Linked DNA regions of Caenorhabditis elegans. The protein of the gene in region 2 interacts with the protein of the main gene of each other region in a pairwise test. Each region holds a gene or a part of one and is shown on either strand. Other genes may lie near its edges. The genes, in order: ilcr-1 and ilcr-2.

Region 1 (15,178 bases), on a different chromosome or scaffold from region 2:
TTTTTTGATCCAATAAAATGCACGAAATCTATAAGGAATCATAGATTACAATGTCGTAGAGTTTTCTTTCGTTTTTTGCATCTTTTTCCTTTTGACCAATACACATATATAGGTCATCTAAACTTTCTCTATAATTCAAGCTAATAAACATTGCGTGTTTGTGTCTGATGGTGGTGGGTTCTTGGAAAGTAGTCATCATGTTTCCGGTACGTTTAAGGATCCATTTTTTTGATGTCATCACACTTCTAGCAAGTTTGATTCAATATCGAGTTTTGAACAATCAAAAATGAAAGTGACTTTCAAAAGTTCAAAAAAATATGAAACATTTTCTGTTTCAACGTAGTTTGAAATTTCATAGAAATTTAAAATCTCAATTTTTTTAATTTATTCCATTAATCAATTTCTGTCATTTAAACTTTGCAGATCGCATTTTGATTTATGGAGCAGAATTATTTCAGCTTGAAGTTTTTCCAAATTTTTACAAAACTGTGTAAAATCAACTTTAGATCTTCGAGTTTTATCATATTTCACGATGATTCAAACATTTAAAATTTTTTTAATTGTTTGACAATCGCTTTATTTCAATTTTTGACTGTTTTTCAACTTTTTTGAAATGATCTAATTGTTAGAGATAATCACTCCAGTTTTGAAAGTTTCTCTTTCTCGTACAAAAACTCTCAATATGCTTATCAGAAACTGGAAATTTGAAATTTGTCTGGAAACTTTTAAAAGATATGTTTCATTGAGTTTTTAAAAGTTTTACCTTATTTCTTTCCAATCGTTCCGTAGCAGATATTTATCGTTGAATACTTTTTGAGAATGATTGGCTCAGTTCACAGTTTTAGGAAAACAAACTTACTAAAATAAAATTGCTCCAACAATAATAATTATTATTTATTTATTAAAAAAAAATTGTTTCTCAATTTCTCTTATCTTTTGTATTATATATTTTCTTCCACATCTTCCACACACTCCCCAGTACTTTTCATTTTCTCCTTTTCAAAAGAACTTTGACATATGTTTTTTATCACGCTTAATCTCAATTTACTTGTCTAAAAATTATTTGTTTTATTGCAAATTCACTCGAAATTAAAGTCCTCAAAATTCAAGTTTTTGTGGAATTTCACTCAACCATCCAAAAAAAAGGATTCTTGTTCAGTTTCATAAAGTCTGTAAAACAATACTTTCTATTGCTATTTATTGATACACGCGATTGATTTTTATCGAAAATTCCCGGTGCTTGATATATTTTCAATTGAGAAAACAATTTTAGCTCGAAAAAATTATCTAATCTGTCAAAAAAAACACAAATTTCCTAGTCAATTTGAACATTTGCTCAGAAATTTTTTTTACTGTTTCAAATTTTTATCGAATATTGACTCCACTTTTAATTTCAATTTTAGCTCTTTAATGTTATTTTTTAATAATTGTATTTAAAAGCTAAAGGTAGAACATATCTTATTCATTTTGAATTTTTTACTTTGAATTGTTTTTTGAAAGACTAAATAAAGTCAATGTATAGAGACAGACAGTGTTCTCTGTTTTGAAATGTTTCTCAGGCATAATTTGAATACGTAGATCCATAAAAACTCAAAACTTTTCAGGATATATAAACTTGATTTTTCGAGATAAGAGAAGTTTTTAAAAATTTCCACTTTCCAACATTTTCGATAGTGCCTACAATTGGTTAAAAAAAACTTACTTTACATTTAAATAAACATCTGTTTCTAAACTTCAATAAATAATTGAAGATTTTATGTTTTGTATTTTTATCTTCTTTTCCATTTTTCCCCAATACTTTTCCCATTTCTCAATTTCAATAGAACTCCCCGTTCCCAACCATCAAAACACAAACACACTACAAATCAAATATCATGCTTTTTCTCCCCTTTTTTATGATTATTTTCCCATTCCGTTCGCCGATTTTTGACGTGTTGGCAGCCGTTTTTCTAGTGTGAATATTCATGCATAAATTTTCTACTCTGAACATGTTTCCAAACTGGTTGACACTTTCTGACAAGTGTTCCTTTTTTTTGATGTAGCTGAGTTCAAAGTTGCAAATTGCGCAGATTTTTGGAGTTTGAAAGTTTGAAAAAAAGTCAGGCTTAGAAATTTGTAGATGTGCTTAAAATTGAAATGTTTAGAATTATACTTTTAAAATTTTGATCTTTTGATTTTTTTTTTGCTGGTGAAAACTTCTTTTGAAACGCTGAAGAACTATGATTTTTCTCTTTTTTCACGGTTTTCCAGTTAAGTTTTTGATATGGTATGATACTGATGAAAATTGTATTTAAAACAAGTTTCTGTATGGTAGTTTAGCATGATTTTACTTTTGGAAAATGTTCTGTTTCAGAAATTTCTTATAATTTAAAATTTTTTATGTGTTCACTTTCACGTTTCAACGTTTTAGTTATAAAAAGGTAAAAACCGTTTCAAATTTTTTTCCTAAAATACTCAATGAAAATTAGCATAATTCACTCAAAAAATATTTATGTTTCAAAAACTTTTCAAAATACATAGTTTTTGACTTTTTTCACTGCTTTCACCTTCTTCGTACAAAATGAAACAATGTAAAATTCGGTCTGCAAAAAAAATTCAAAGATGATGTATTTCCAGTAGGGAATTAAAATAAACTTACATCTCTGTTTCTAAAATAACCGCACTGTACAACTTTTCAAAACATTCTTTGGATTTTTTTTTCAGTGACAGTCAAAAGGTGGCACTCAGATTTTATATGTCATAATTTAGAAAGTCTAAATTTGAAAAATTAAATTCGCAAAAACTTTTACCGGAAATTTTGGAAAATCTACACTATGTTAAAGTGGTTTTTATGATGTTTAATTATGTTGAACTGTTTCAACTTCCAATGTAAAAACATATTACTGTTTTAAAAATTTTGGATAACTCAGAGTTGGATCTCTTTTTCATTCATTTGCTTTCATTCGGAATTTCGTTCAAAGTTCTGTACTTTTTCGATTTTTGGTTGTGTGGGAGATCGGAATTATGAATATTTCAAAATTGAACTGAAATTGGCAATTAATGAATTCTGCCCAGTCTCACCAGTCTTTAAGTGAAAAATAGCACTTAACCGTTTCATAACGTTTTCTTACAATGCTTGTTAGAATGTTGTTAATTAAATTTGTTTTTGTCCAGCTCCCCATTAATTAATGTATGTCTGTTGCACATTCGTTAAGTTCTCAGTATCTTTCAATTTTACATTTTATTTGAAACAATTTTATACTGTTTCAGATAAATATTATTTTTGTAGTCCGCCGATGAAATTATTGATCCAGATTTGATGTTCAAAATAAATGAATAAAGAAATGAAATAAAGCTCAGAAAAAATTCTTAACCGTTTCATAACGTTTTCTTAAAACATTGATAAAATTAAGAAAGCATTCAGATTCTTAAGTTGCATCAAAAAATTACACTGTTTCAGATATGTTTTATTTTCACAGTCACCACATCAACGTATTCCGTTGTTCATTATAGCTAAAAATTTAAAATGAAATGAAGAAAAACAGTTGCAACCCAAAATGCTCTGCAAATCGCTTCGTTTTCCCATTGCGAGTGTCTCTCTATCTCCCTCACTCAATGTGTTAATATGCAGGGGTATATGATGTACTACATCCTCGATACTTTTTCGCATTATTTTGTGCATTGGCCTTCCATTTGTCGAGCACGTCTTTCTCTCTTTCACTCTCTCGTTTTCACTTGAGTGCTGCTCGTTTTCTAGTAGTTTTCCCCTTGATTTCATGTGCTCTCAAAGAGGGAGAGAGTGGACACACATCAAAACTTCTTCTTCTTCTTCTCCTTTTTCTCCTTCTTCTGCTCCTTCTTTTTTGCTCCTTTTTTGCTCACAGCATTTTCTTGGGGGCTCTCCTCCTCCCGCCTCCTCTCGAATTCCTTTTCTCTCCCTTCTTTGGTTTAAGAAAAAAAGGAGAGAGAAGAAGCTGAATAAGGAGCCAAAGAGCCACATACACGTGCCAATGTGAAAACATAGATGGTGGTGGTGGGCTCTCTCACTCTTTTTCAAAGTTCAAAAAGTTATATTGTTCGACAACATTTTTGAAAGTCCAGACTTCCAAAGTCCTTCTCTCCTTTTTTGCTTTGCCGTTTTAGGAGGTTTCAGTTCGATTTTGAATTTGTATTTTCTTATGGGGCAGCCGTTGAAATATTATGTTTACTTCAAGCACAGTACTTGTAGACATTGTAAAACAGTTGAAAACATGAAATATGTCAGAACTAAAAAAAACTGTTCCAAACACAGTATTTCAGCAGAATTTAAAAAAAAATCAATTTGGATTAAGAGCCGGATTTTTTGAATATCAACATTCTGCCATTTAGAAAAATACGATGATGTTTCAAATAAGTTACATATTCCGAGATTTCCTGTTTCAACATTCATTTGTTTTATTACAGTTGGTTTTCTTGTTTTTGGAAATCTTTTTGTCTTATTTCGAAGTGGAAAATTTGAAAACAGCTGCGATTAAAAAAAAATGTTTTACAAATTTACAAGTACTAGCTAGGTGCCTTTCAAAATACAGTGTGGGGAACTTTCACATTGAATGAGGGCTGTTCAAAAAAATTTGTAATTCTACTATTTCAAATATAATTGAAATGTGATTTTGTGTGTGATTTTGTGATTTTGAATCTGGCCTGATAGTGGAAGATTTTTTTGTTGGCCCAACATTTTTGAAAGTCCAGACTCTCAAAGTCTTTCGCTCCCTTATTCTTTGCCGTATTAGGAGATTTCAATTGGATTTTTTTGTATTTTCTTTTTGTACAGCCGTTGAAATAATATGTATGTTTCAAGCACAGTACTTGTAGACATTGTGAAACAGTTGAAACGTTGAAATGTGTCAGAACTAAAAAAAACAGTTCCAAACACAGGTTTTCAACAACAAAAAAATGTTTATGCCAATCAGGAAGAAGAGCCGGATTTTCTGAATATTAACATTGTCATTAATAAAAATACAATGCTGTTTCAAATAATTTTCAAATTCTGGTAATTCCTGTTTCAACATTGCAAACGTTTCTTTCCCATTTTTTATTACAGTTCGCTTTCTTGTTTTTGGAAATCTGGGTATCATACTTCGAAGCGGAAAATAAATAAAAAATTTCGATAAAAAATGTTTTTCAAACTTTATAAGTACTAGGCAGTTTTCAAATTACAGTTGGTTGTGTTTACAAATGTGCTGTGAGTTGTTCAAAAAATTTATAATTTTACTGTTTCAAATAAAATTGAAATGTGATTTTGAATCTATCCTGATAGACGACGAAGCTTTCAAATGACAATTAGCCCTTTTAGGATCGTTTCAAATGTTTGAAAAAAATGCGATGCTGTTTCGCAATGTTTTGAAGATTAAAACTATTAAATTATTTAGTATTCTAAAATTTCCTGTTTCAACATAATTATTAATGCCTGTTCACTCTTTTTTACAGTACTGTCATTTTTTTTTGCATAATACACATCTCTATTTCGAATTCAATTTTTTTCCAAAATTCCTATTTAAAAATATTTTTTACGAACTCTATAAGTATTCGAATAGCTTTGAAACTTCAATCAATGTCCGCTTAGCGTTCATTAAAATTAATTCAACATTCCAAAAAGCAAAAGACATTTGAAAGTAATTATTTTATTAAATTCTGGGATTTTCTACTTTTCCTAACTGATAGCCGTTTTGCATTAACTTCAGCAATATGGATCACTTTTTCAGAAAAACATGAAAAGTATAAATACCAAATTTAATATTGTTTTCCTGTTTCGCACACTTCAACTAACAATTTCAAAACTTCTCAAATAATCATAAACTACAACTTCAGCACTCTCTGATTATGCATTCCTGATCTTATAAAGCCTAGAAACTAGTTGTAGCTCTCGTTTTCTCTTGCTCATGTGTGTATGCATACGTGGAGAAGATACTTCCATTCGCCTGATCTTTGAATGAACTCGTTAATCTTTTTTCCCATTTGCGAAATGTATGCACATGAGATTTTAATTCAAAATTTTCCTCCTGGACTTTGAATCGACATTCTGATCTACCTTTATCTTTTTGCAAGAAATGTTACTAATCTGAGTCAGTTCTATGAAAAAAACCAAGGCGGAAGTAAAATACGTCAGATATTTTCTGTGAAATCTGCAACGTCATTTGGTTATCAAGCCGCCAAAGTAGGGCTTTCACCGAATTTAGCTCAATGTGTGGTGTTTGACAAAATAGTTGCTTCCGACACCACGCGGGTTTTGTCAAATTACCAAAACTGGACACAAAGGGTCAGCGGAACCCGCGAGGTGTCGGGTATTTCTAATCTTCTAGTGTTTGTAAGTTTTCTGTTCTATTTCTCATCAATTGGTTTTTTGTATTGCAATACTATTTCACTTAGGTTTTAAAACTAAGTTATTGAAATGTCTGAAAATACGGCCAAATCAGATTTCTGACTGATGAATGATGTGACACAATCAGTTTGCGCCCGACAACACGCGGATTCATGAAAACCGCGCTCATTAGCGAAACGGAACCCAAGTGGTGTCGGGTGCTTCGGATTTACTTGATACAGTTCGAATGTAGAAATTCCCTGAAAAAGTCTGGGCAGTTCTTCTTCAATTCGTTCTTCAGAGTTTTTCATTTCGATACTGTTTCAATTCGGTAACATAACTTAGTGATTGAAATGCATGTCTGCTATTATTTGTGATAGTTGAGAATCAGTGCCCTTTTAGCTTCTATGTCAGAGAGTCGATCTGACATGATCATCTTGCGACCGACAATTTACATGTGCTGGCAATTGTCTAAACTGCCAAGCAAAGCACACCGCTGAACCCGCTTGGTGTCGGCTGCTCTGTAGTAGAACCTTCGATTTAGATTCATTTCCAAAATGTTTTTATTTCAATACTCTTTCAATTTCGTTCTATAACTAAAATCTTCCATAATTTGACAGTAGTCCACCACACTTCCTCGTTTTCCAAGATCTCCGGGATAATTCCCCATTGGTGATTGTGCATTGGAGTCTAGTGGAAACTGGAAACTAATGAGCACTCTGGTTCCTTGCGGTGCCATTGAGTGCAAAATGTGCAATCTTCCTGGTCTACTTATTAATTGAAGTTTTTGCGGTGTGTGTATGTTTGTGTAGGACGTTTCCTGTTTAGGGAAGGAGGATGATTTGTGGACATTTTGAGTCTAGTTAGGAGTATGGATTAGGGATTTAAAATATTGAAATACTAGCTTCAGAATGAGAAAATGTTTTTTTTTATTTTTTTATTTGAAAATAATCTAGTAAACTGCCTGAAAAGTTGTCTTTTTTTCAGGCACTTTTTGAAAGGTTTTTTCAAAACTTTTAAACAAAAATGAATACAAATTTTGAATTGAATCAATATTTTCATATGATTATGTCTTAATTTTATCTGAAAGTTATACTATCATACTCCTTGTTTCTCCAAAATTTTGAGCATATTTTCTGTGCTCAACCTGTACAAACATTTCTCTCTCTCTTTCTTTTTCTCCAATTTTCTCCATCCCAACCCCATAATTTTAATGCATTTTTCTTACTTTCAGAAACCACCAATCACAATTAAAGGACTACTGAAATCTTCTCCTCCTCCCAACCTCCTCCTCTCTGCTCCATCACACAACTGCAGCTGCATCACCAAAAAACGACGATGTCCTCCACTTCATAACATGTTTCTTCATTCGCCTGCTCTTCTCATCTGGCTCTTTCTGTTCTGCTTGGCTGGTCCACAAGCGGTACGCACCGAGCCGTACAATTCGACTTCTTCTTCATCTTCTCCCACTGCTAATGACGTCACATCATCAGATTTGTTGCTCTTAGCTTCCGAAGAAACGCCGACGCGGGCGCCTAAACCGGTCACCAAACAGGGAAAAAAGAATGTGGTGAAAGTGAAAAAAGGTGGAAATGGGACAGTCGATGATTCGCCATGGGTTACGGATTGCTCCGAGCCACTGAACAAGGACATTTCATGCTCTGTTAATATTAGTGAGTTTTAGTTGAATTCTTTGATCTAATTGTAAGCAAAATATTCTGAAATTCTCAAATATCACAGAAAATTCTATAAAGATTTCAAAATCCAACTTGTGAAAAGTAGGCCTTCATAGGTGCGGAAACGTCAATTCCGGAAACCGCGCATGCCTATCATGGAAATTATACTAAAAGCGCAGTTTTTTTGATAAATATTTATGTTTGAACATCCTCCAACACAACTTGCCACACCCACTTTCCAACCAATTAGCTTTTTCGAGCTTTGCTTCTGATTGGTTGAAAAGAGGGCGGAGCAAATTGCTGATTGGTCTCACGGTTCTAATACTGAATGAAATTGAAACAGGGTGACTTGGCGAAATTGAAATAATCTCGTTTATTTTTAATATTTAAATTTTCATGTATTTTACTGCTCAGTCAATATGTAAGGCTTAACAGAAAACTAACTTCTTGTACAAACTTTAACACCTACATGAAACAGTACTTTTAAAATTCCAAGAATTTTCTCAAAACTTACCTATTTTACTGCTCGACACCTTACTACTTCTTTCCTATTATTTTGACCACTCTTCAGCTAAACTCGCCAATTGTCGGGCGCCAACGGAAACTCGAAATCATTCTCCTTTTTTTTGAAATTCAAAAGTTCAGTCGTATTAGTTTCCGTCGTTTTGCAAAAAAGTAATTTCCGTTTGCCACTGACCATTGATATAATTTTCGGCAAAAAAAATTATTTTTGGTGAAATAGACAGAAAAAATCAGGAAATGTGTGATGTTAGCTGAGGTACTTCTCCTGCCAAACTTTTACAGTGGTTTTCCATCAGACGTCAAGTGCAAATAAACAGTATGACAGTGTATATTGATACCAGATACAGGAATTTTGGCAATAAAACTGAAACTGAATTACTGAATTGTATTAGAAAAACACCTGAAACAGTATACAATAGTTTTTCAAAACTAAATATATTTGTCAAGTTTTCAAAGTGTCTCATTATGAAATTTGGGATTTCGAGGTCTTTTTCAGAATAATACTGTTTTTAAAACTTATATTTTATTTTCAACTATTTCGAGATGTTTTCTTATTTTCTGAAATCTTCAACCCAATTTCAAAAAAACAAAATCTGTTTCACAATTATGATATATTGAATCAAGGTTTTTGAATCAATATTCTCCTCATAATTTCAACTAAAAAACAGCACCGTAAACTCACTATAATCTCAAAAATCTTTCAGTCGGTTGCTCGGACAACGTGTTCAAATACGTAGACGCCGGTCAGGAGCCGCCTCGAGCCCATGACGTCAGAATCGCGCCGACGACAAAAGTGATGGGCGCAAACCGAATTGACAAGAGGAAACATCGGTTGCATGTCGACGTGTCATGGCAGATACCTCAATTAGAAGCATCGACACATTTGAAGGCATTCAAATTGATTGTCAATGGTCCTGATGGAAAGAATACTTGTTTCGTGTTTAATGTCACGCAAACGCATGTTGATGATGAGGGTATTTCGGTGAGTTGATCGTGTTGTTGGGGGAGAAGGAAGACTAATTGAATATTAAAGTTTAATATAGAGTAGGAATATTGAATTGAAATGACCTCTAGGAACTCTTGAAGCAGAAAACGTATACAAATATTCCAAATGAGAATAGGGATTACATATAGGCGTAGGTATGCCTCATATCTACTGCCAAAAAAATTAAATATAATTTTTACTGGAACTTTCAAAAAAGCCATACGACCAAGCTTCCTTCTTCACGAATTTATTATGTGAAATTTTAGTGAATTTTCACAAATAAGCGTTAAGCTACTTCATTTTCTTGTTCACTGTTTCACAGCTTTTTCAAGAAAACGGTTCACAAAAGAATGCAATTCATAAAATATTATCCTTCTTTTTTGAGATCTTTCAACTTTTTGTTAAAGTTCAGACATAACATGTTCTGCCAGTGCCATAATTTTCAAACTAGGTTGCTTCTTATAAAACCGCAGGCCTTGTTTTTCAACAGTTTAGTCCTCGAAATAGAATCTATGTTTATTATAAGTTTCTATTTATAAGTTTCACAAAAGACAAGAAAATCATAGCAATCTCATATATAATGACTCTACAATATCTTCAGTTTCTGAAACAGTGAAAATTTTGAGTCTCGGAAATTTTTTTATCTAGCCGCAAAAAAAGCTTCCAGGAATAACTGATTTAGGAATTGGGATAATTTCAAAATTCTCAGGTTCAAATTCACAATTCAATTACAAAATCGATCTTTCTCAAGAAAATTCCACTAACACCTTCAAAATTTCCATAAATCTTAACAACTCATAGAAACATTTTTTAGCCTCGTTACCGTTTCTCTTCAAACACGTTGTTCGACTTTGGTCACAACTACACAGTAACCATTGTGAGTCTCCCAATGTCTCGGAAACGTGCTCCGAAGGTGTCAGCCACGAGCTTAATGCCTGATGATCCGGATGCGGCGCCGGTGAAAATTGTCAAGACCAACGAACAAATGTGTGAGGGGAAATGTAAGAGATATATTCTTGATTGAATTATGTGAGAATATGGATATTTATGCTTCAGCGAATCCACAAGCTTCAAAATGGGCAGCCAGCTTCCGGAAAATCTTCCTTTTCAGTGCGATTAGGCTGATTCAAATCGAGTTTTTGGCGGCGCCACCGCAATATTGTTTTGAGGAATATGAGGTAATGCACTAATTGTGGAACATTATACAGCACAAATTTAAAAACAATGTGAAACAGCAGAAAATTCATTTTCAAGCTTGTCTAGAAAATTTCAAACGTCCTGTCATTGTGAACACAATTTTTGATTTTTCAAATTCTCTCGGTACTTTCTTTTTTGAAAAAGACAATTGGACAAAACGAATGCAGCCGTAGCAGCTTCCCTAGCTATACAGTTTCTGCGAAACAGTAAATTTTCTTCAGGTGCGCCTTCTCGATAGCTCTGGAATTGTGATGCTCCAGTCAGCCATAATCACAAAAGACGAGCTCAGAACTGAAATAATCAATGGTCGACCGGTCCAATTTGGAGAATTCAACTTCACCGACATTGAGCTCGACACGGATTTAATTCCATCAGTGATACCAATTGAAAGTGCTCACGACGGAAGATGCCTATGTGTCACTGAGAATGGTTGCAGCTGTTTGGCAGCTGATTGGAAACCAGTCAAATTAACAAGTGAGTCACTTTTTAAAACAGAAAATGAAATGAGAAGCAAAATTATTATTTTCAGGAATTGAAAAGCCTCCAGCTACTTCTAATCAAACAGAGGAAAGTGATGGAAAAGCAGAGAAGGATAAGAAGGAAGATACTACATGGACTTGGTGAGTAGGAGATACAGGGAAATGTCGGCTGCTTTTTTATATGCAGTCGAAAAATCCAACCAAGAAAACCTGACAAATTTCAGGCACACCTACGCAATCACCGGCGGCGCCATCATTGCAATTCTGTTCATTCTCTCAGTTTGTGCTGGCTTAAAATGCTACAAAAAGTTTAACAACAAGAAAAAAGCATCGAATATTCACTTACTCAATGAGAATCCCGCATTTTCACATTCCGGATCAATTCCTTTGATTTTGAAGCGTAAGTCATATTATCACTGTTTCATAATGTTTATAAAACAAAATCGCTTTGTAAATCATCATTCTGCTTGATTGTCTATCCTAATAAGTCTTAAAACTTCAAATTTTATTTGTTAGGATCTGTTTTGATCCACTGTTTTGATCTAGCTAATTTTGACTTAATTTTTTCTGATCTCAAGAAAAAGCGGGGAAAGTTTTATTGTGAGACGCTAGGAGAAAATAAGCATGACGTCACTCTGCTCAAAAACGAATTCTCTTAAATTCTTTTTTTTTGCATTAGTAATGTTTCAACACTGTGTTAATACAGGACTAAAAATTCACTCAAAAGTAGTCGATTGAACTTTTCTGTAAGGTGGCAAAAATTTCAGAATCCATATCAGTTCTGATCGTATATAGTCATGACTCTGCTCAACATGAAGCTGCAGTTTTGGCGTTTGCAGAGCTTTTGAGAGATGTTTTCAACTTGAATGTTCACGTGAGTTTATTTTTGAGTATATTTTAATTTAAAAGTTTAAAAATCTACAATGATGAGATTTTCAAAAAAATTGTATCTCCTGTTTTGAACAGTTCATAAAAGTACATAACTCTGAAAACGAAGCTTCCATCAACTTACTAATTCTTGCCTTACCCATTTCCCACACTCGAGATGAACTCTTGCTGGGTTTGTCTCGTTTTATAAATTTATTTTCTCATTAAACCTTAAAGTGTACTACCTTTTAATGTATTACCTTTTGGCACAGTTAAAATGCTATGCGCGCAAAGTGTTTTTGGCGTGGATCGCGAGTGGGAGAAAAAGGAACCGGAAATGATGCGCATTGTGCGTCCATCGCGAATTTGAATTACATTTTGCGAGCATCACGAACATAAATAATGGGCACATTGTGGATTCTCCTTTCTGATAATAAAACTACTAAACCCTGCAAATTCTGAGCATTCAAGCGAATTAGTTGAACCAAAATACATTCATTAACAGAGCAAAGTGAGTTAACATTTTTTCAAAACAACAAAAAGAAAACGTTAGTAACAAAAAATGGAACTCGTAATAACAATAACAAAATTATCGAATCATCATCGTAGCCATTTCGGTTCTCGAAGTTGGACAAGTCAGCCGGATCCGTTCCCCCTTTGCGTCTACAGCTATTGCCTTCATCGCTGAATTTTCTATCAGTGTTTTTAACGTGTAGTATTCCAACTCCAAGCTTCGTGTATTCTTTTCCTTGGAATTAGAACACTTATACTGAAAAATGAACATGGTCCATTAAAACTATGCTTCGAAACTAACTTGCTGCTGAGCACTGCATCCAGCTCTTGATCTTCGTCAGTCTCCATCTTTTGAGGTTCTAATTTTCGTTCATCATCCTCGCCAACTTCTCGTTATGCCTGATTCTGATTCTCCATGGCTTTCTGTGCGAGATCCGCGAACCCACTGAACTTCGGTGTTTCTTTCGGCTTGTCACCACTGAAAATTCGATAATGGATTTATGATTATGTTTATACACCAACTTTTTCCCAAAAAAGCAACTGAAGAATTATGATTTTTCGTAGAATCAACCGCTTTCAGTGTATTGGGCGTTCCATTTTCTCGCACTGCTTTGGCTATTTTTCGTGGAGCAATTTCTTCTCCAGAAGTTTAAGACGATTTTCGGCACTTCTGTACAATGGATAACGAATTTTGTTGAACAAAATTACCAAAATATAACGGTGAGAGCGGTCAAAGAAATGTTGATTAAAAAATCTAAATGACAAATCACGAGCTAAAAACATTGGAACTACCAAGATATTGAACGATTTGTTCTGAGAATGATCAAATATCAGGCTAAATGATAAAACTACAGTAATCCTGACGATTTTTTTGTGTACCAGTAACAAAATATTGCTTAACATGCGTTTTCGTTGAATATTTCAATGCTAAAACTGATTAGAGTAAGTTTTTTCTATAGACATGGTAATTTCAAAAAAAAAATCAATATTAAGATAATATAAGGCATATAGAACAAATTTTCATGAGACAATCAGTAAAAAAAATCAAAAATTCAATAAAAAATGAAATTAAATGCGAAAAAATAGGCGAAAAAACACTTCGAATTTTGAATTTTTGGAACGCAAATGAACACATCTTGGGCCCACTGTGCGCCCATCACCTTCCGCAAGCGATGGGCTCGAAATGGGTGGTCGCCGCATGCGATGGGCGCATTATGGCTCTTCATCCACTATGCGCGCATCGCATTTTAACTGTGGGCTCTTAATGTTGAAAATAAATCAAATCAAATCAAATCAAACTTCGGTAATTCTTTTTTTTTTTAAACAAACATTAAACACATTAGCAGTCCGTTAAATTTTCTTATTAAGCAGAAAAAAATCAATTCTCAATTCACATCGAAATTCCTACTCAATAGAATTGTAACAATCATATGTTTCAGGACTTTACAAAAAATTGTGTCACCCAAAAATTACTGTTTCATAATTTGCATATCCTCAAATTGAGTTAAATTTTTTCACTGTTCTTTTCTTCAACCAAAATAACATTATTTCAGTTAGACGTCTGGGATGAGGATGATATCGAGGAAAATCGTGCGGAATACATCAATTCAAGTATAGTCCGGGCGAATAAAGTGATTATAATCAATTCAATTGGTGCCTACTTCCGAACTGTCTTCCGTCATCAAAGAGAACCTGCAATCGAAAGAATTACAACCGGAAGGAACGACGTGATTTTCGATATGCAGTGTGAATTGGCGTTACAGTGAGTTCGGGGGGAACGACATGAAAAAAAATATTTGAAAAATTAGAATATGTTTTTCCAAACCAAAAAAAATTTAAAAATGTTTTGAAACAGCAAAATTTTTTGTAGCTCAAATGAAAAATTGAGCAAATTTTCGAGGGAAAGCGTCTGAGTTGTAAATTATTAAAATTAACATAAGAATAATAAAATTTCCTTGAAAAAAAACTTAAAGTGTTGTCTGTATCACAAGCAAGATGATCATCGGATCTTGAATTATTGATTTTAAAACAACTAATATTGAAAAGTTCAAACTCAACGAAAATGTAATCGTCAACATTGATTGTATTCATTGCTGTCTCAATATCTTGCAATAAATCTAACCTACTTGAAACATAATCCTATTAACTTTCCAGACACCCTTGCGTGATATCCTGCCACTTCAGCTACACCAATCCGAAATACGTGTTCTTCCCAATCAATCGTCTCCTACAGTACTCTATACCAAATAGTTTAATGACAATGACAACTGCATTGACTGAACAACCTGCAAGACCCGAGCAACTTGCTGGTTTTAATCAAGTATTTGCACGGTTACAAGCAGCAATTTCAAGGAAATTGAATTACATTGAAAGTGATCCACAATGGTTTGAGAATACTCATCATAGAGTTGCCACGCGTAGAGTTAGTGAGTTGGAAGCTCATAATATTGTGCCATTGCCACCAAGTTTGGAAGTAAAAGTTGAAGATGAGGATGCCTTCGGTCAAATGGAAACTTTGCCGATTGACGAACTCAAGGAGAAGTTTGCTGCAAAGAGAGATCTTGAAGTGGAAGTTCTGGACTCTGAAGACGTTAAGCTTCTGGAAGACGTTAAATGTGCTCCG
Region 2 (15,776 bases):
GGGCGTTTACCGGGCAAATGGCAAAAAATGGGCGTTTCTGGAATATCGGAAATAAATGGTATACTGTAGTTATAAGTATAAATATGTGTACAATCCAAGTCCTCCTTCTTCAACATTTTATTATTATAAAACCTTTTTTTGTTATTGAGATTTCCCCTATCAGACATTTTAATCTTTGAAATTTCGAGTTATTTATCCATTTTCTCACAATCACAAACTTTCACAACTTTTGATTCCTAAGTCTTATGACAAAAATCATTGGGGCGTGTCTAAAAGATTTTGAAAACTGGGCGTGGCTTTGGAGTCCAAAAAGATGGTGTTTTGGTGTCCCAATAAACCCCCGCAAAACTCAACAAGAACACTTTCCTTCTCATGACTTTTCCCTCTTTGTTTGCATTCTTCCATCATTTTTTTGAGTCTCATCATCATTTCAATTCAAAAGTGCTCAAAGTTCAGGTGCTCAGTGAAACTTTGCGGGGCTCACAGGTCTCCAATTCCAATTTCCGCATAAATTTCATGTCATTTTCATCGTCGTCGTCTTCATTCAGTTGTCACTCATATACATTTATTTATTCATTAATTCATTCCGTCATTCATTCGTGCATCTCCTTTTTTTATCATTTATTTTTCACTTGTTCCCCTCGTTTTCTACTGAACATTATTTCAGCTAAAATGGACTCACTGAAAGAAGCTGAAATTCGTGAAGTATTTCGAGAGTTTGATAAAAATGGAGATGGAAGAATTACAAGACAAGAGTTGGAGGTTTGTTGTTATAATTTGTGAATTTTCGGACAAATATAAGTTTTACAGGTTGCTCTTCTTCAATTGGGAGAAAAAGCGAGCAATTCGAAGATTGAGACAATGATTGAGCAAGCTGATTTAGATGGTACGATCAAACTTCTATTCATCCTATTTTCCGTATATACTGACCATATTCTTGAATACATTCTAGTTCTTGCCAACAAAAAGTGGTATTTTCTTAAAATCTAATTTGAAACAATTGAGATTTTTTGTAAATCAAATATAGCATTTTCGCAACAAAAAACTGGATTTCAAAATCAGGTCCTGGCACCAGCGAAGCTTCTGCTACCGTACTCGTGATCTCTTGTGTTGTAATTCCCTCTTGATATTTGACGATTTTTCTTTATAATTTCACAATTAACAAGAGTTGAAAATGAAACACATGTTGGGGAAAAATGTGAAATTGCAAAATATCTTAAAGTTGTGAGCCTAGCTTTTTCAGTTACCGTACTCGCGACATACTTTACTTCGCAATTTCTATTGAAGAATTTTTAATAATTTCTCAAAAAATATATGAGCTCACATCAAGGGCTTTAATGCAAAAAAGAGTCTTTGGCTACTGTAGCGAAATACAGTATTCTCTCTATTTCTAGTGTACTAACAAGATTTCCGCATGAATAAGCTTCCACACCACTATAACTTCAAAAATTTCAAACAGCTGGTACATTTTGTGTTCAAAAATAGAACTAACGCGTGTGATTTCCGGAAATTTCCAACTTTCCCGTATTTTTACCAGAAAAAAAAATGAAAAGTACTGAGTGCACGATAACAGGAAGCAGAATATGTAGGTGGAGATGATGATGAATTGAAGCGGAATGCAACTTTTTTACGCTTTAGAACTTTTTGACGGACGAAACCTAACGTGTCTATGGATAATTTAAACTCATGGTGTGTTTTGAGTATTGGGAAGAAAAAGTTGAATACTTTCAGGAAATGGATGTATTGATATAGATGAGTTTTTGAATGTACTCCGACGACAAATCTGTGATCCGAAAGAAGAACGAGAATTGAGAGATGTTTTTAATGTGAGCACATTGATTTTGCATCTAACTAATAAACCTGTTTTGTTTCAGGTGTTCGATAAAAATGGAGACGGCGTGATTTCCATCGATGATTTAATTTTTGTTATGTGCCAATTGGGAGAGAAGTTAACTGAAACTGAAGCGAAAGAAATGATAAAACAAGGAGATCTAGATCATGACGGAATGATCGATTTTCAAGGTTGGAATTGATTTAATCTATATTATCTATATTTTGTTGATATTACAGAGTTCGTCAATATCATTAAGGGCCAATAATCAAAAGAATCAAAAACTATCTCATCAATGCTTTTCCATTCCTTCGCACAGCTGATCTACATCTCATTTTTCTATCGTTTAATTTTTGTGTACATATTTATAATTATTGATTAAAAATTAAAACAACAACATTTTATTTAATACAATAACAAAAACAAGTAGTATACTTCGAACAATTGAAAGATCATCATGAAACTCAATAGACTAAACTCTACCGTTGGTTAATTTTTTACCGGTGTGATGTATGGTTGTAAAACTTGATTGAAACAATTGTATATTCTATTTTCTATTCTATTATATTAATGGCCAAATTCAACATCCAAATGTAGCCACGCGTGCCGTAAGATCCTTGATACTTGTTTGATGATATTTTGATAGATGAACGGCGAATCGATCTCGTGCGTGAAACTTTTGATTGCATGTATGACAGGAATATGGTTTGATACCTAAACATTAATTATTTTTTCAGATATTAAACTTTTAGATTGTAAGTATTTACCATCATGAACATTAAAGTGATCGTGAAGTGCCTGTTCTGTTCGAAAAGTTTTTCCACAAGTAGTCTCATCACCATCTTTTGACTTTCGATCGCATTTGTACTGTTCTTGGTGTTTTGGTCCCGTGGATTTAACTACTTTCTGCGAATTTTCCGAATGATATACTCTGACATGCTTTCGAAGATTGTCTCTTAATGTAAATGTTTTAAGGCATATTTCGCAGCTGAAGTCTCCATGTACTCGACTTCTACTGTGCTTTCTTATTTTATTCGGAGGTTCAGTTGTCCCGAATTCAATTTCCTCATCGATATCGTTTATATTTTCCGATAAATCATTAGTAACTTCAGACACAGAATCACGTTCAAATTGACTAGAAGTTCCTGTGATTGTTGATAGTGTGGTTTCAGTGTTAGCATCATTCCATTCATCATTTTGAAGTGCTGGTGTCGATTGTGAAGAAGATGGTATATTTTGAATCAAGGATGAACATGTCGATAGATGCTCGCTTACACTACCGGATCCCAAATAAACACCACATCCTAAAGTGCATAGAGCTGGCTCACGTTCTTCATGAATTCTGAAATAGGTAAAATTATTCAAAAAACCGTTTTCATTTAAAAAAAATAATTTATAATCGAATTTTTACAACCTACCTTTGAACATGATCCTCAAGATCTTTCTGTTGTTGTTCAGGATCATCATCTGAAACATCAGGTTTGTATTCACATAGAGGGCACTTGTTGAAAGATAGTTTAGATCGAGTTTGTTCGGTAGACAATGGAATAGACGTGTGATATTCTTTGATGTGAGCTCTGAAATTGTATTAAAATGTATTTTTTATTAATCGATGAAACCCACTTGAGCCGATTTTTTGCTACTTTGATACAACAGCCAGTAATTGTACACGGAATACCATCAACATGGTTTTGTTCGAAGTGACGGCGAATGAATGCTGGTTTCTGAAATTCCAATATCAGAAGATGAACAACTCGATAATTCACACCTCATTAGTGTACGAGCACTGTGGACACTTATGAGAAGCCTTCGAATGATGTAGTTTGTGATGTGCTCTCAATTCACCATATGTGCCAAATTTGGTAATTGTCGAGCATTCAAGGCATTGGTAACGATTAGCTGAAAAAATAATTATCTAAATTACTAAATAAGAATGCTGAAACATACAATCATGAATTTTTATATGTTCTCTCAGCTTGTTGGGATATCGAAACTTTTTCTCACAGAACGGACATCTGTAAAAATGTTCGCATTTCATTTATATAAAAATATTCCACATACGGATGGAACTCGTCTTTCGTTTTTCCTCTTTTTCGTTTTCTGCTCGCAATTTCTTCTTTTTCAACTTCTTCAACTTCTTCAATGCATACTTTCGAATTGCTTCTCTCACTGTTGCCATCTTCTTCTCGGTATTCATCATCAGAGTCTTCATCAGAAGACGATGACGATGAAGATGGTGGTTCAAACGAAGATATCATCTGAATTTTGGATTTTGGATAACAGTAAAAATAATTTTTCATAGATAGACTAGGTTATAAGACCTGTTTTAATTAGAGAAAAATAAAGAAAACAATTAAGGAAATGTTAAACATTTATAGATAGCGTAATTTTTAAATCCTAGAACAAATTATCAAATATATAAAAATCAAATAATGAGTGAAAAATGACATGGAAATTATAAATTCTGAACTATGAGAAGCCAGCGTGCCTCCGCTATGTTGGAGTTCTGGAAAACGTAGCTTCAGAACAATAAGACATCTCATTGAGGGACACGCTGACTAAATAAACATGAAAAAGCATCGCACAGAAAAATCGAAATAATATACCATAATTAACCACGTATCACACCGTAACAAGCAATAAGCAAATAAAAATAACAAGTCTCTTCATGACTTCTTCACAACAATCGTCTTCGGATCTTCACCCTCATTGTCGGATTCAGATTCGGATTCCGAACTGGAGTCAGATTCCGAGTCAGAATCAGAGTCAGGGCCGCACTGTTCAGGTGGTAGGAGAATGAGTGGCTGGTTCTGATGAGAAGCCTAAAAATTATATTTCTAGCTGAGAACATTTTGAATGAACATACGTGTGGCTGGAGATCAACATCATCTTCGTCATCACTGTCCACGAGTGCTTGCGGGGGCACCAGGTTATACTTTATAGAAGCAGCAATGCGATCCTCTTCAGTTTGGATTGGAACAATGACGGGAGACTGACGTTTGAGGTGAAGCGCTGCGAGCTCCTGAAAATGAAGTTTTATAAATTAATCATAAAATTAAAACCCTCACGTCTTTCGGTTTCCATCTCGTTTCGAGCCAATTCGGATTTCGAACGAAGAATGACATCATACGACTAGCACAAAGGTTCCACTCATGAATCTGAGCTTCTGATATGTTTTGAGTGACGTTGGCTCTTTCTGTGTGCTCTACATTGTGCAGGAATGCAGTGAGTTGCGCGAATTGTTCAGGTACTGTAATTTCAGAATTAGAAAGATTACATTTTAAATTTTAAAATAAACTAACAAATGAAGGTGGGAAGGTTAAGAATCGCTAAGTTTGGTGGAACATGTGGAGAATAGTTGAATCTGACAACGGCGTATTTCTTACGAGCTTCCGGAAAATTGTGTGTTGCGTCCTAAAATGTTTTTTCTTGATTTTAAGAAAATCCGAGTCAATTGCCTACACGAATGATCATTTCCATAGCTGGCCCGAACAAATCAGCAAATGGTCGAGCTTGAACAAGCTGATGAGTCTCAGAAGCTTCCGTGTCGAGAATCTTTTCAGCGCAATCAGAAACCACAATTATAAATTTCTTTAGAGAGCTGATTTGATCCACTAGCCAGCGGGATGGAACGATTTCTGAAATTAGTATGAAAAGTTGAAAAATACTATATATTTTTTAAAAACTTACGTTCTGCGGTTATAAGCTTCTCCAAATCAAAAACTGGATCACAGGATGCACAGTTTCTGAGATTTTCGACAAGTTTCTTCACACAGTCGGTATGCAAATCATTGTCATCCGCATAAACTATCATAACCTTCACAAATTCAGTCAATGCTATATTTCGAACTTCTCGAGATCGAACTTTGTCTCTCCATAGTACATAACCAAATCCAGTTACAGCCAGAACGATGATCAGTATCAAAAGTACAACGACAGCGATGAAAATCTCGAAACCATAATCTTTGAACTTTTGCAATGCGAGCCAAGACAGTGAAGCTCTATTTTTGTAGATAACCAGGTTCAGATGAGTACGAAGACATTGCCGACATCCTCGTTCTTTCTTCTCGCAATAAAATTTGCATCCACGAATAGGAACGTATGCCGTCAGAAGGTATCTCCCTGCTTTCTGATTTTCCCATTTAACGGCGGTTTCTGGGCACTTCACAGTCAAAATTTCCAGAAATGTCACTTTTTGAGAATCATCATCGTGTTCCTTGTAGACATTAACAACCATAGTTTCGCATTCTGCCCTCTCCGCTTTTCCCAATCTAACCCAAATCGCATTCTTATCACTGAAATCAGCAGACAGCATCGGTGCCCAGAACGGATCCGTTTTCGTTATAATTGACTGATTGGTAGTTGGATCCACAAGAATCTCTGGGAACATGTCATCGAAGTATGGAGCAGTCATAATCGTTGAGACTCTACATTTTTGCGGTAGAATAGTTGCATTGATTGCGTAGACAGAAAATGAAGTGAGTCGGAAACAGGAATACGAGAATCTGGTGGGATATTGAACTCTCGACGAAAGATGAATTCCGCGACACGGCCATTCTTTGACTCCGTTGATGTACTGAAAATTTGAATTTTTACTGTATTACCCAGACGCGAAGTTTAGCGTAAATAATACGTTACAGGGTCTTGACACGACAAATTTTCGTTGAATGCGAAAAGGTTTGCGTCATTAAAGAGTGATGTAAGTTTAAAGATTTTTCTTTTTTATAGAGAAACGTTTTTTAAAACTACAGTACTCTTTAAAGGCGCACACCTTTTCGTAATCAACAAACATTTATCGTGTCGAGACCTGGTACCGTATCCCCGGCGTATTAACGTTCAAAATTTCGCGTCTTTTAGTTGTTAAATCTAGTTACCATGGCTTTCGAATTGGAACAATATACATCTGAACCATCTGAAGCTGACAAGCATTCAAGACGGAATGCAATGGTATCGACGGAAGAATGAGCAGTGACGGAAATATTCAGGTTGGCATATGGATAACTGAAAAAATTAACTAATTAAATTAAAAAATTTCCACAGTTTCTGACTGATTTCCAACCTTATCTGGGACTTTGGTACGTAGACTGGTTTGAGTTCCAGATCAATAAGACCAGGAGGACATGTTGGCAGCTTTTCAGGAAGATCTGAAAATCGGAAAATTAATTATCTTTCTGGTTCGGGAAAAAATGTACCATTTTTCTTGAGCCGTTCTGAGCATTCCTTAGTCGTGGAGTACGTGATAAAAGGATCGGATTTCTTATCATCAGCTCTCACATAGACGAATGAATCTTTGTAGCATTGATCGGAATGCTCAAAAACATTCCGAAGGACGTAATCAGAAGCATTGGTGTATGATGCTGCTGCGGACGATTTGACAGAAGATAGTGAACAGAGATAGAAGTATAGGAGTAATAAGGGACTGCCCGTTGCGCGATAAGCAAGAAAATTGGTAGTGCAAAGGCGGACCATTTTATGTCATTAATTAAAGTGCGGTTTTGAAGAAAGAAAATGAAAACAAGCAACTTAACAACAAAAAAGATAGAAGAAAATATAAATTCTAAGAGATTCTAGAAAGAGAAAAGTGAGATTACTGTGGGTGAGATGTCGCAGCGGCACCAGTTGACGCCTGAAAATTGATGTAAAAAGATTTAGCTCGTTATTTGCGGTAAAAGAATATCTGATTGTAAACATGTGAAGAATTTGAACCTAATTTGTTGACTTTTCACCTCTTGAGGCGAGGCGACAAGGTGAAAACGATATGTTTGTACACGGGAAAACTTTTAGAAAATCTCTATTTTTTTTAATGTTGCTGCGGTAAAAATCAGAGATTATCGAAGAAAAATTAGTTTTAATTACCTGCTCTTGTGCGACTTTCTCAGCTTCCGCGGCTTCTGCAGCTACCTTCAGTTGTTGATCGGCAATCAACGCCCTGTTGTCCTTGGCTCGAATGAACGATTTCGGGTGAATTGGGAAGAGTCCCGACAGGCCTGAAATGAATAAAAAATTAATTTGATCATCAAAACTACGAAAACAGTTGATATTTTCAGTAGATCAAAAATTAATTCAAGAATTTTTCCCGCAATTTTTTTCCAAGTGTATTTTCCAAAAAATAATTATCACAGTTTCTCCGCTCACCGAGAAGTTCAAGCACTGGAACGGAAATATGAGCGTTCCGTTCACCAATCCAATATTTGAGGCGTCCAAAATTCAGAGCCACTAGCTTCTCGTTCTTCTGATTTGGAAGTGGATCAAAAGTTCCCACCTGTAAAAATTAATTTTATTATAAATCATTCAAGCAATTTTTTCATTCAAGCAATTCTCACCTGTTCAAGAATGTTACCCTCGTATCTTCGACCTAAAGCCCGATCAGGAAATACACAAACGTGATAGAACGGTCGGTTTGTGCAACCAAAAAGAGCCAAACCGATCGAAGGACGTCCGTAATATTTTGGAATTACTAATTTTCGCATTTCCAGCACCAAATTTCGCTCATAGAAGGAGCAATCTGCAAAAAACAGAATTGAGCTCGTACGAGAGGCAGAATGTACTACGATCGTTATGAACGGCTGCAAATTAAGAATAAAATTTTTTTTCGAATAGAATTATTTCAAAACTCAAAAAACTATTTACACAATGTTTATAAAAAGTTTAGAAATTGTGGAGAGAAAAACTTTTTTAAATGTCGTGAAGTGCAGTGTCAAGTACGCAATGTTGTCCGTCGGTGTTTGCGGACACAAGAGTAATTTCGCGCGAAATTTAATTTTGATTTCTTCTGGTGTATTTTTTGTACAATCCTTCATTTCCTCGTTTGATTTGCGTACGAAACAAGAAAAGTTGAAAATAATTGACAAATATTGCACTTAAAATTTATAGAAAAATGTAATATTTTTTTGTTTTTTGGTACATTAAAAGAGATAGTTATGATAAACAAAACTGATTTAATTTCCAAAATTAAGGAAATTTTATTTCAAATTTTTCCGACTGCGCCAACAAGAATTCGTAAAAATCTGCATGTCAAGTTTCTTGAAATCTAAACTGATCTTAATATTATTTAGGAAAATATAAAACATCATCAAAATTCATAATAAATTCATTTAGATATCATATATATTTACACATAATAATTCAAAAAGGCAACAATATGGCTTTCGAGCAAATATCTGAAAAAAAAATCATCTGAAGTCATTGAGAAGGATCCGAAAGTTGCATACTCGTTTCTGTGTGTCGGTGGTGTTGGTTGAGGCGGGGAGTGTAGAATAGACTATTGACTAGTATTAGAGATTGGGTAATAAATAGAATTCATGAGGAAACAAACGAAAAAAAACATAACTGAGTAAAACTTTGTAATGAGAGGGAAATATGGAAGAGAGCACAACATTGACCCGTTTTTTGTATGCTTGTTGAATTTTTTGTGCCCAGAAAACAGCTAAAACGGGGAAGGCAACAACTATATTATGTGACTAGAGAGATAAATGGAAAAATATAACAACAGCTACCTATATGTCTTAGAGATATAGTCAGCTAGGGCTCTGTAACAGAAAGAATACTGCTCAAAACGGGTAAACATCATCGGTCGGTGTGATTGAAGTCCTTTTACTGTTTGGAAGACGTCTATCCGTTGTTCAGCTTTTTGTCGGAGCCATAACAAGGAAATGCATATGAAGATTCCGCTCTCTGACGATCCGTTTCTGAAAATTTAAGATTTTATTTATGATGAGCACTTGCTGATTGTCCTACCTGCAATGTACCACAATCGGAGCCTGAGATCCCATGAGACTGCTCTGACGTTGCAGGACCATCTCAATCAGATTCATCAAACTGTTCGCAGATTTTGGAACAATTGAATCCGAAGGCCATCCAGTATACGAATACTGTACAACTTCTTGGTTCGCTGGCATCGATTCGTTATCTTTCATAGAATATGATAAATTTCGAATGATAAAATCTTGATGGTGCTCTTCAGAGACACAGGTAACATTCACTGAATTACGTTCCGATCCAAAGTGACATTCTGTTCCAGAACCATCGATTGGCCAGTACTGAAAATGAAAATAAAATTAATTAAAACTGCTTATTTGCTTACAAACCTTTTCAACATCACTCCAATCTGTCTCATCACTCAACATAACTACCGTAGTCACATTTTGATCAGCAATCATTCTCCAGAAATCAAAAGCTGTTCCTTCTGAAACAGGATCCTGAGCGGCTATATAATCAAAAAAGTATCCTTTTATGTGTGATGCATTGATATATGAAGAGTCAGCATGTCCAATAGTTGGAGGAAGAATAACTCGATATTTATCAAAAGGTACTGCAGCTTCATATCGATTTTTAAGAAGGTTCTCGTCTTTTGCAGCAAAGTTTGAAGATAAAGGAGTAGTCAAATTTCGCTCCAACTTTTTGAATTCTTCTTCCAATCCAGTTTCTCCATTGGAAGTTGTCATTGATTCTCGAGATGAGACAATTGCTACTCTCGGAGATATTGATCCATTCGTAGATGACTGTTGATTAAAGCTAACTGCTCTATCTCTATTCGATGCACATAATCGTTGATAGTGATCTTCAAAATCTCGAACATCTTCATCAGTATCACCATACATGTGCCATTCCGCAAGTGCTTTGTAGATGAACACATATTGTTCAAGAGATTGAACCATCAAGTTCCGTTGGCGACGAAGATTGCACACGAATTCGAAAATGTTTGCTTTATCCTCCGCGAGACATTGATCAAGCATCGAATCTATTGAAATAAATGTTCCAGTTCTTCCAACTCCAGCACTTAAATTAACTATTAATTGATGAATTTTGGAAAAATATAAATACCTGCAATGTATCACAACAGGCGAGTTATTAAACTGTGGTAATTCTCGAAGACGATACATGAATCGAAGCAATCCAGTGGAACATTCCGGAGCTTTGTAGTCATTCCAATTGGTAAAGTGATACTGGAGAATACGACGGGCTGAATAAAAAATTAATTAAAAATATGAAACGATCGTTAATTAACGAATCCGCCAGTAACTCACAATTATTAGCAAATTGTCCTTTTACAATTGGCACATTCGCGTATTCGACGCCGTTTCCATTCGGGATCACATCACTGAAATATGAAGAAGTTAGCATACAATAATAATTATTCCGATGAAAACTCACGGCCCACATTCTCCTATATGTGCGATATCGAATGCACGAATCGCATAATCAGAATGGAACGAAAAACTGGCAGGCTCCACGATTATATCTCCATATCTGTAATTTTATTATTTTTTTTCAGAATTCTTACTTCCAAATTTTACCTTGTAATCTGTTCATCAGGCCAATACTTTGCACATTGCTGCCGGTTTTTCTCGGTTAAATTGGCAACCATCACAATTAAATATGACTCTTGTTCCCACACCATTCTCCAGAAATCTCCGATAGTGGCGTCAACTGGAGCCTGAGCAGCAATGAATAACTTCTTTTCTTTCCAGCTTTTAATGAAATTAGCGTTTATATAATCCGAGTAATCGTCTCCGTTGATTTTCTTCAGCTTAACTCGAGTATCATCGAATGCACGAATGTCGTTATATCGGTTTTTGATTGCATTTTCTTTTCTATTACTGGCTACAGTATCCAATTGAAAATGTGGCAGAGATTCGTATTCTTGTGCAAACAGAAAATCCGTGTCTCGATGTCGAACAACGTATTCAGTTGGAAGATCATCAACTGGAATTGCACCAAATGTCTGTTTCAGAAGAGTTCGTTCCACAACATCTTTTGACGTCATTTTTGTGAATAATGGACACCAAGTTGACAGCATATGTCCTTTTCGGTTTACAAAGAACATTGTAACTCCAGTTGCAAATGCTAAGAACAGAAGGAACGGCAGAATAATTTTCATGAAAATTCCGAATCCACTGCTTGAACTTTCCGTGTCAAGTAGTATTGGCTTGAAGTATGCAGAATATCCATACGCTGGCCCACTCAAATGAAGTTGACGCAGGTGGCGGCTCATGGGAGATGCAGTACGGGTTCGTGATGTTGGAGATACGCTTTTGTCAATTCTGAAAATAAATTACTGTATGAACAAGAAAATATAAAACGCCAAAAACATGGGAAGCCGGTCTCGACACGAAAAATTTTTGTGAAATTCGAAAAAAAAGGTGTGCACCTTCAAATAGTACTGTAATTTCAAGCTTTCGTCGCGAAATTTTTATCGAAAAATTTTCGTGTTACAGTTTTTTAGGCGCAAAAATTAGGAATTTTTCCGCGTTTGGATAACATTTATGTATACTTACAAATTCCTAAATATATTCGGATCAGCTCCATTTCGAACATCTTTTCTGTTCAATTCTTCTTCCTTATCGACACGTACAATTAGAAATCCGGTGTACTTGAGCCCACGCCGTAATGCGAGATCTTCAGACGAATATCGACTGAGGTACTGTACATTACAGGCTTTTAAATCAGACACTCTAACACCATCTCCTATCGTTGTTTCTTCTGGTAATTGAACATACGACTCGGCAATGTAAGCGAAAAATCGTTTCTCTTCAGCCGACGATGGGAGTAGATTGTTCGTGAAGACTTTTGAAAATGAGTGCATAACTATTTCCTCAGATTTTGGCAAGATATCCAGAGAAACATTTGCAGGAAGTGGAACTATTGCAATATAGTAGCAGCTGAAATTATGACAAGTTCAATGTATTTTTTAATGTTTTTTTAAAAAAGAAAGATACCTTATTGGCCCATTAATATCATCTGGCGGTTGGGGAAAAGTCAACGAGAATGTCGAATGATTATTAGACAGCAAAGGTTGTGGTGTTTCTACCATATCTGGCTGTGCGTAATTCGTAACACAGTTCTTGTGGAAAACTGCTGGTAGAGATCTCCCAGCTGAATTTTCAGCCCAAACAGTGACGGTATAATTTCGATTTGGCTGAAAATATTATGTTATTATACTGAAACATCTCTAACAATCTCACTTTTAATGGACCAAATTTGCAAGAATAAAATTCATTTGCAAAATCAATTGGATTGATTCCATTATGCTTTGATGTATTCTCATCACCATCCCAATTCGCACAACGTTTATCAACTTCTACAGCTGCTGGAAGATCATCTGGAGTTAGGGATCCGTCGGATTTTCGCATTGCTCCACGAACAGATACAAAATATTTTGTAATTCGACCATTTGGCTCCGCGGGACTTTTCCATTCAACTTCACAACTCAATGCTGAACCAGAATTTAGCACCCGCACATCCTCCTCTTTCGGTGGGAATGGACCTGAATAAAAATGAAATTTTGATTTTGGAACCGGATCTCAAAACACTAACGTTTCTGTTTTGTAGTAAAGTGTTCAGTGAACTCAAATGGTACTTGTCCATTATTCCCCGACACAAAAAGTGTGTACGGAGTCGCGGCGCGAAGATCTTTTATAGAAACTGGAGACGTTAAGTTGTCCTTACTGAAAACCACTTGTCCTCGGGTATCCGTACGTCGAACAAGTCTGAAAATTGAAGAATTTATAAATTTGAAACTAAAAAGTGGATCAGATAAACAGGTATTGGGATAAGTGCGAAAAAAAAACTGAAAATCTGTGAGTTTAAAGAAAAGCATATTTTAATTAATGGTTAAAGCACAAAAAACTTAGGTGAACAAAGGAAAAAACTCAAAAAAGAAAACAACAAGATTCCACTCCATTCCCGTGAATTGATTCTTACTTATTTGATTTTGGATCATCTGAATCCACTTTCAGAAACCTTCGACCTCGATGATGTAGTGATTTTCTGTTATTAAAGTGAAAAAGGTACAAGGAGTTAAATTGATTATTAAATTTAATAAATGGGGAAAGTGATCATATTTATAATTTAGTAAAAGCATATTCGAAAGAAAAATCTGAAAATTACAGTACCTCAAATCAATTGCCATGTCTTCTCCACCTTCGGATTCCCATGTAACGATGGCATCTCGTTCAGATGGATTTACAGTTAGATTCTTGATTTGGCGAGGAGCTGAAAAAGAAAAGAATATTAAATTTTGAAATTTAAAAAAATTGGGAAAAGAATGGGGAAAGCGGCGTAGTTCAAGCGATTGGGAAATTGAAATATATTCATGCCGTTATTTAAATTTTCGACGCGAAATTTGCGATACTTCCGCTACAAATACGGTCCCTGGTCTCGACACGACAAATTTCTGATAAACCCAAAAAGATGCGCAAAAAGATAAAAATTTGAATTAAACCATAGAGTAATGTTTGAAACTACAGTATTATTTTTTTCCGTTTTCGAAATTATGCACACCTTTTCTCACTTTTTCTCACTTAACAAAGATTTGTCGTTTCGAGACCGAGCACAGTAATTTTCGAAAAAATCGCGTCTTGGTAATAAATCCTGCACAGCCACCAAAACATGCAATTCGAATAAAATATTTAAAAATAATCACGAATCACTCCAATTTCACACTATTTTCATGCTAAACTTACTAGAATCATCATCATCATCTGAAGTTTTCAGTGATGACGATGACGACGGAGGCATAACTTTTTTCGGACGTTTGTACCAATATGAATGGGTACGACGGGCGTGTTCTATACAATTTTAGCGATATATTTATATGATTTTTTCTATTTTTTTTTAAATAAAAATTTTCTAAAAATATTCTCACCTTTAACCTCAAACTGCATTGTATCCGTAACGTCAAGATCTGAAGCACTCGCAGTGACCCGACACATATAAGACCCAGAATCCGAAGTTTGAGCATTTTTAATTTCCAGCTCCCAACACGAATATTTTTCATGTACCCGTCGAGCAAGTCCATTTCTAGGTGCAAATGGGTGTGATGTTGCTTCTCTCATAATTGTTCCATTTTGAATGAAAAATACGCTGGCAACATCAATAAAGCCTTCCGGATCAACATTTATGCAGCAGAATAAGGTGACATCAATTCCCTTCGAAACTGACGTCGATGGGTGAGCACGGGCTACAACAGCGAGATCTCCTGGAAATTGAATTTTATTTAAAAAAAGTTTGTGTGAATTGGCCGAAAGGGTTCATGGGAAAAAAGGTTTCTATTCCTTATATCGAGACTTTAAAGATCAATTCTTCGAAATTCGAAGGTTTCTCAGAAAATTCTAAATTATTTTCAATGTATTTTTTTCGAGTAAAAAAAAGAAATTCTCACTTTTGTCACATTTCGTTGGAAGTAGAGTAGAATTCAACCGCAGAGGCTTCTGATTTGCCGTAACATGAACATCATCGAATTGTGGTGGGCAGACGCATTTCCTCTGAAAAAAAAAACATTAATTTTTGAAAAATTATTCCCTGGATACCCTTAATCTTTTTTTTTTAACTAACTATTCCCTAACTATTCAGAAAAGTGTGCCACGTCACCACTAGATCGAATTAGTGAATGACAGACGACGCCACGTCCATGTCGATTAGTATCATTTAGAGTTTTTCAGTGGGAGAATACAGAATGAATGAGACCACCCAGAAGAATATATCACGTTCAATTAGGTGATTCTCAAAAGTATCACGCATTACAGAGAACAGAGTACGGTGAACGAATAAAAATCGAAAGACTTGAGAACAATTTTCTTTTTTTTTAAATTAAATTAAATTTAAAGATCACTCACTGAATAACACGTCGGCTCCTTCACATCATATTTCGATCGATAATCAGCATCCATGAGTAGACATGTGGATGGTGTTCGGTAATTGTATCCGCATTGTTTTGGAGTAACTGGAAATTAAATAATTTTAATTTTAATTAGAAAAAAAGTAACATACTTGCTGGACAACTTCTCGGGCACATACATATTCCATGACCATCGTTTCCACGGTGACATACTCCATCATGTACACAGTCTTGATTCGATTCGCATGATTTTACACCTGAGAAATTGAAATTTGATTTTTTTTTGACGATTCTGACTGGCGGTTCTGCGTTTTTGCTTACAGAGAC

What was found.
Region 1: the proteins of ilcr-2 (region 2) and ilcr-1 interact in binary tests that used the Caenorhabditis elegans proteins (3 or more experiments, as listed by UniProt).

The regions. Positions count from the first base shown.
Region 1 is NC_003282.8:14,268,916-14,284,093, forward strand, and holds the start of ilcr-1 (Interleukin cytokine receptor-related protein 1), read left to right. Parts: upstream 1-7,544; 5' UTR 7,545-7,673; coding exon 7,674-7,989; intron 7,990-8,396; exon of another isoform or gene 8,397-8,472; intron 8,473-8,851; exon of another isoform or gene 8,852-8,878; intron 8,879-9,154; exon of another isoform or gene 9,155-9,175; intron 9,176-9,218; coding exon 9,219-9,496; intron 9,497-9,855; exon of another isoform or gene 9,856-9,876; intron 9,877-10,043; exon of another isoform or gene 10,044-10,067; intron 10,068-10,238; exon of another isoform or gene 10,239-10,263; intron 10,264-10,313; coding exon 10,314-10,500; intron 10,501-10,555; coding exon 10,556-10,677; exon of another isoform or gene 10,678-10,689; intron 10,690-10,836; exon of another isoform or gene 10,837-10,857; intron 10,858-10,917; coding exon 10,918-11,170; intron 11,171-11,225; coding exon 11,226-11,316; intron 11,317-11,399; coding exon 11,400-11,575; intron 11,576-11,637; exon of another isoform or gene 11,638-11,658; intron 11,659-11,902; exon of another isoform or gene 11,903-11,926; intron 11,927-11,942; coding exon 11,943-12,049; intron 12,050-12,173; exon of another isoform or gene 12,174-12,194; intron 12,195-12,631; coding exon of another isoform or gene 12,632-13,240; and 12 more. UniProt on the Caenorhabditis elegans protein: Forms a receptor complex together with receptor ilcr-2, which upon activation acts as a modulator of neuronal activity.
Region 2 is NC_003280.10:5,466,933-5,482,708, reverse strand, and holds ilcr-2 (Interleukin cytokine receptor-related protein 2), read right to left. Parts: upstream 7,464-15,776; 5' UTR 7,458-7,463; coding exon of another isoform or gene 7,419-7,457; 5' UTR 7,301-7,418; coding exon 7,024-7,300; intron 6,976-7,023; coding exon 6,891-6,975; intron 6,833-6,890; coding exon 6,706-6,832; intron 6,408-6,705; coding exon 5,522-6,407; intron 5,470-5,521; coding exon 5,294-5,469; intron 5,246-5,293; coding exon 5,134-5,245; intron 5,082-5,133; coding exon 4,900-5,081; intron 4,854-4,899; coding exon 4,698-4,853; intron 4,654-4,697; coding exon 4,498-4,653; 3' UTR 4,183-4,497; downstream 1-4,182. Other genes in the region: cal-8 (EF-hand domain-containing protein), read left to right, coding at 673-762, 811-886, 1,732-1,826, 1,875-2,022, 2,071-2,099; Putative zinc finger protein F56D1.1, read right to left, coding at 2,412-2,545, 2,599-3,173, 3,250-3,408, 3,455-3,555, 3,600-3,730, 3,779-3,846, 3,893-4,089; mrps-16 (Small ribosomal subunit protein bS16m), read right to left, coding at 7,419-7,457, 7,688-7,818, 7,967-8,093, 8,155-8,301; clr-1 (Receptor-type tyrosine-protein phosphatase), read right to left, coding at 9,324-9,519, 9,569-9,870, 9,919-10,609, 10,655-10,793, 10,858-10,931, 10,985-11,080, 11,128-11,874, 12,109-12,492 and 9 more.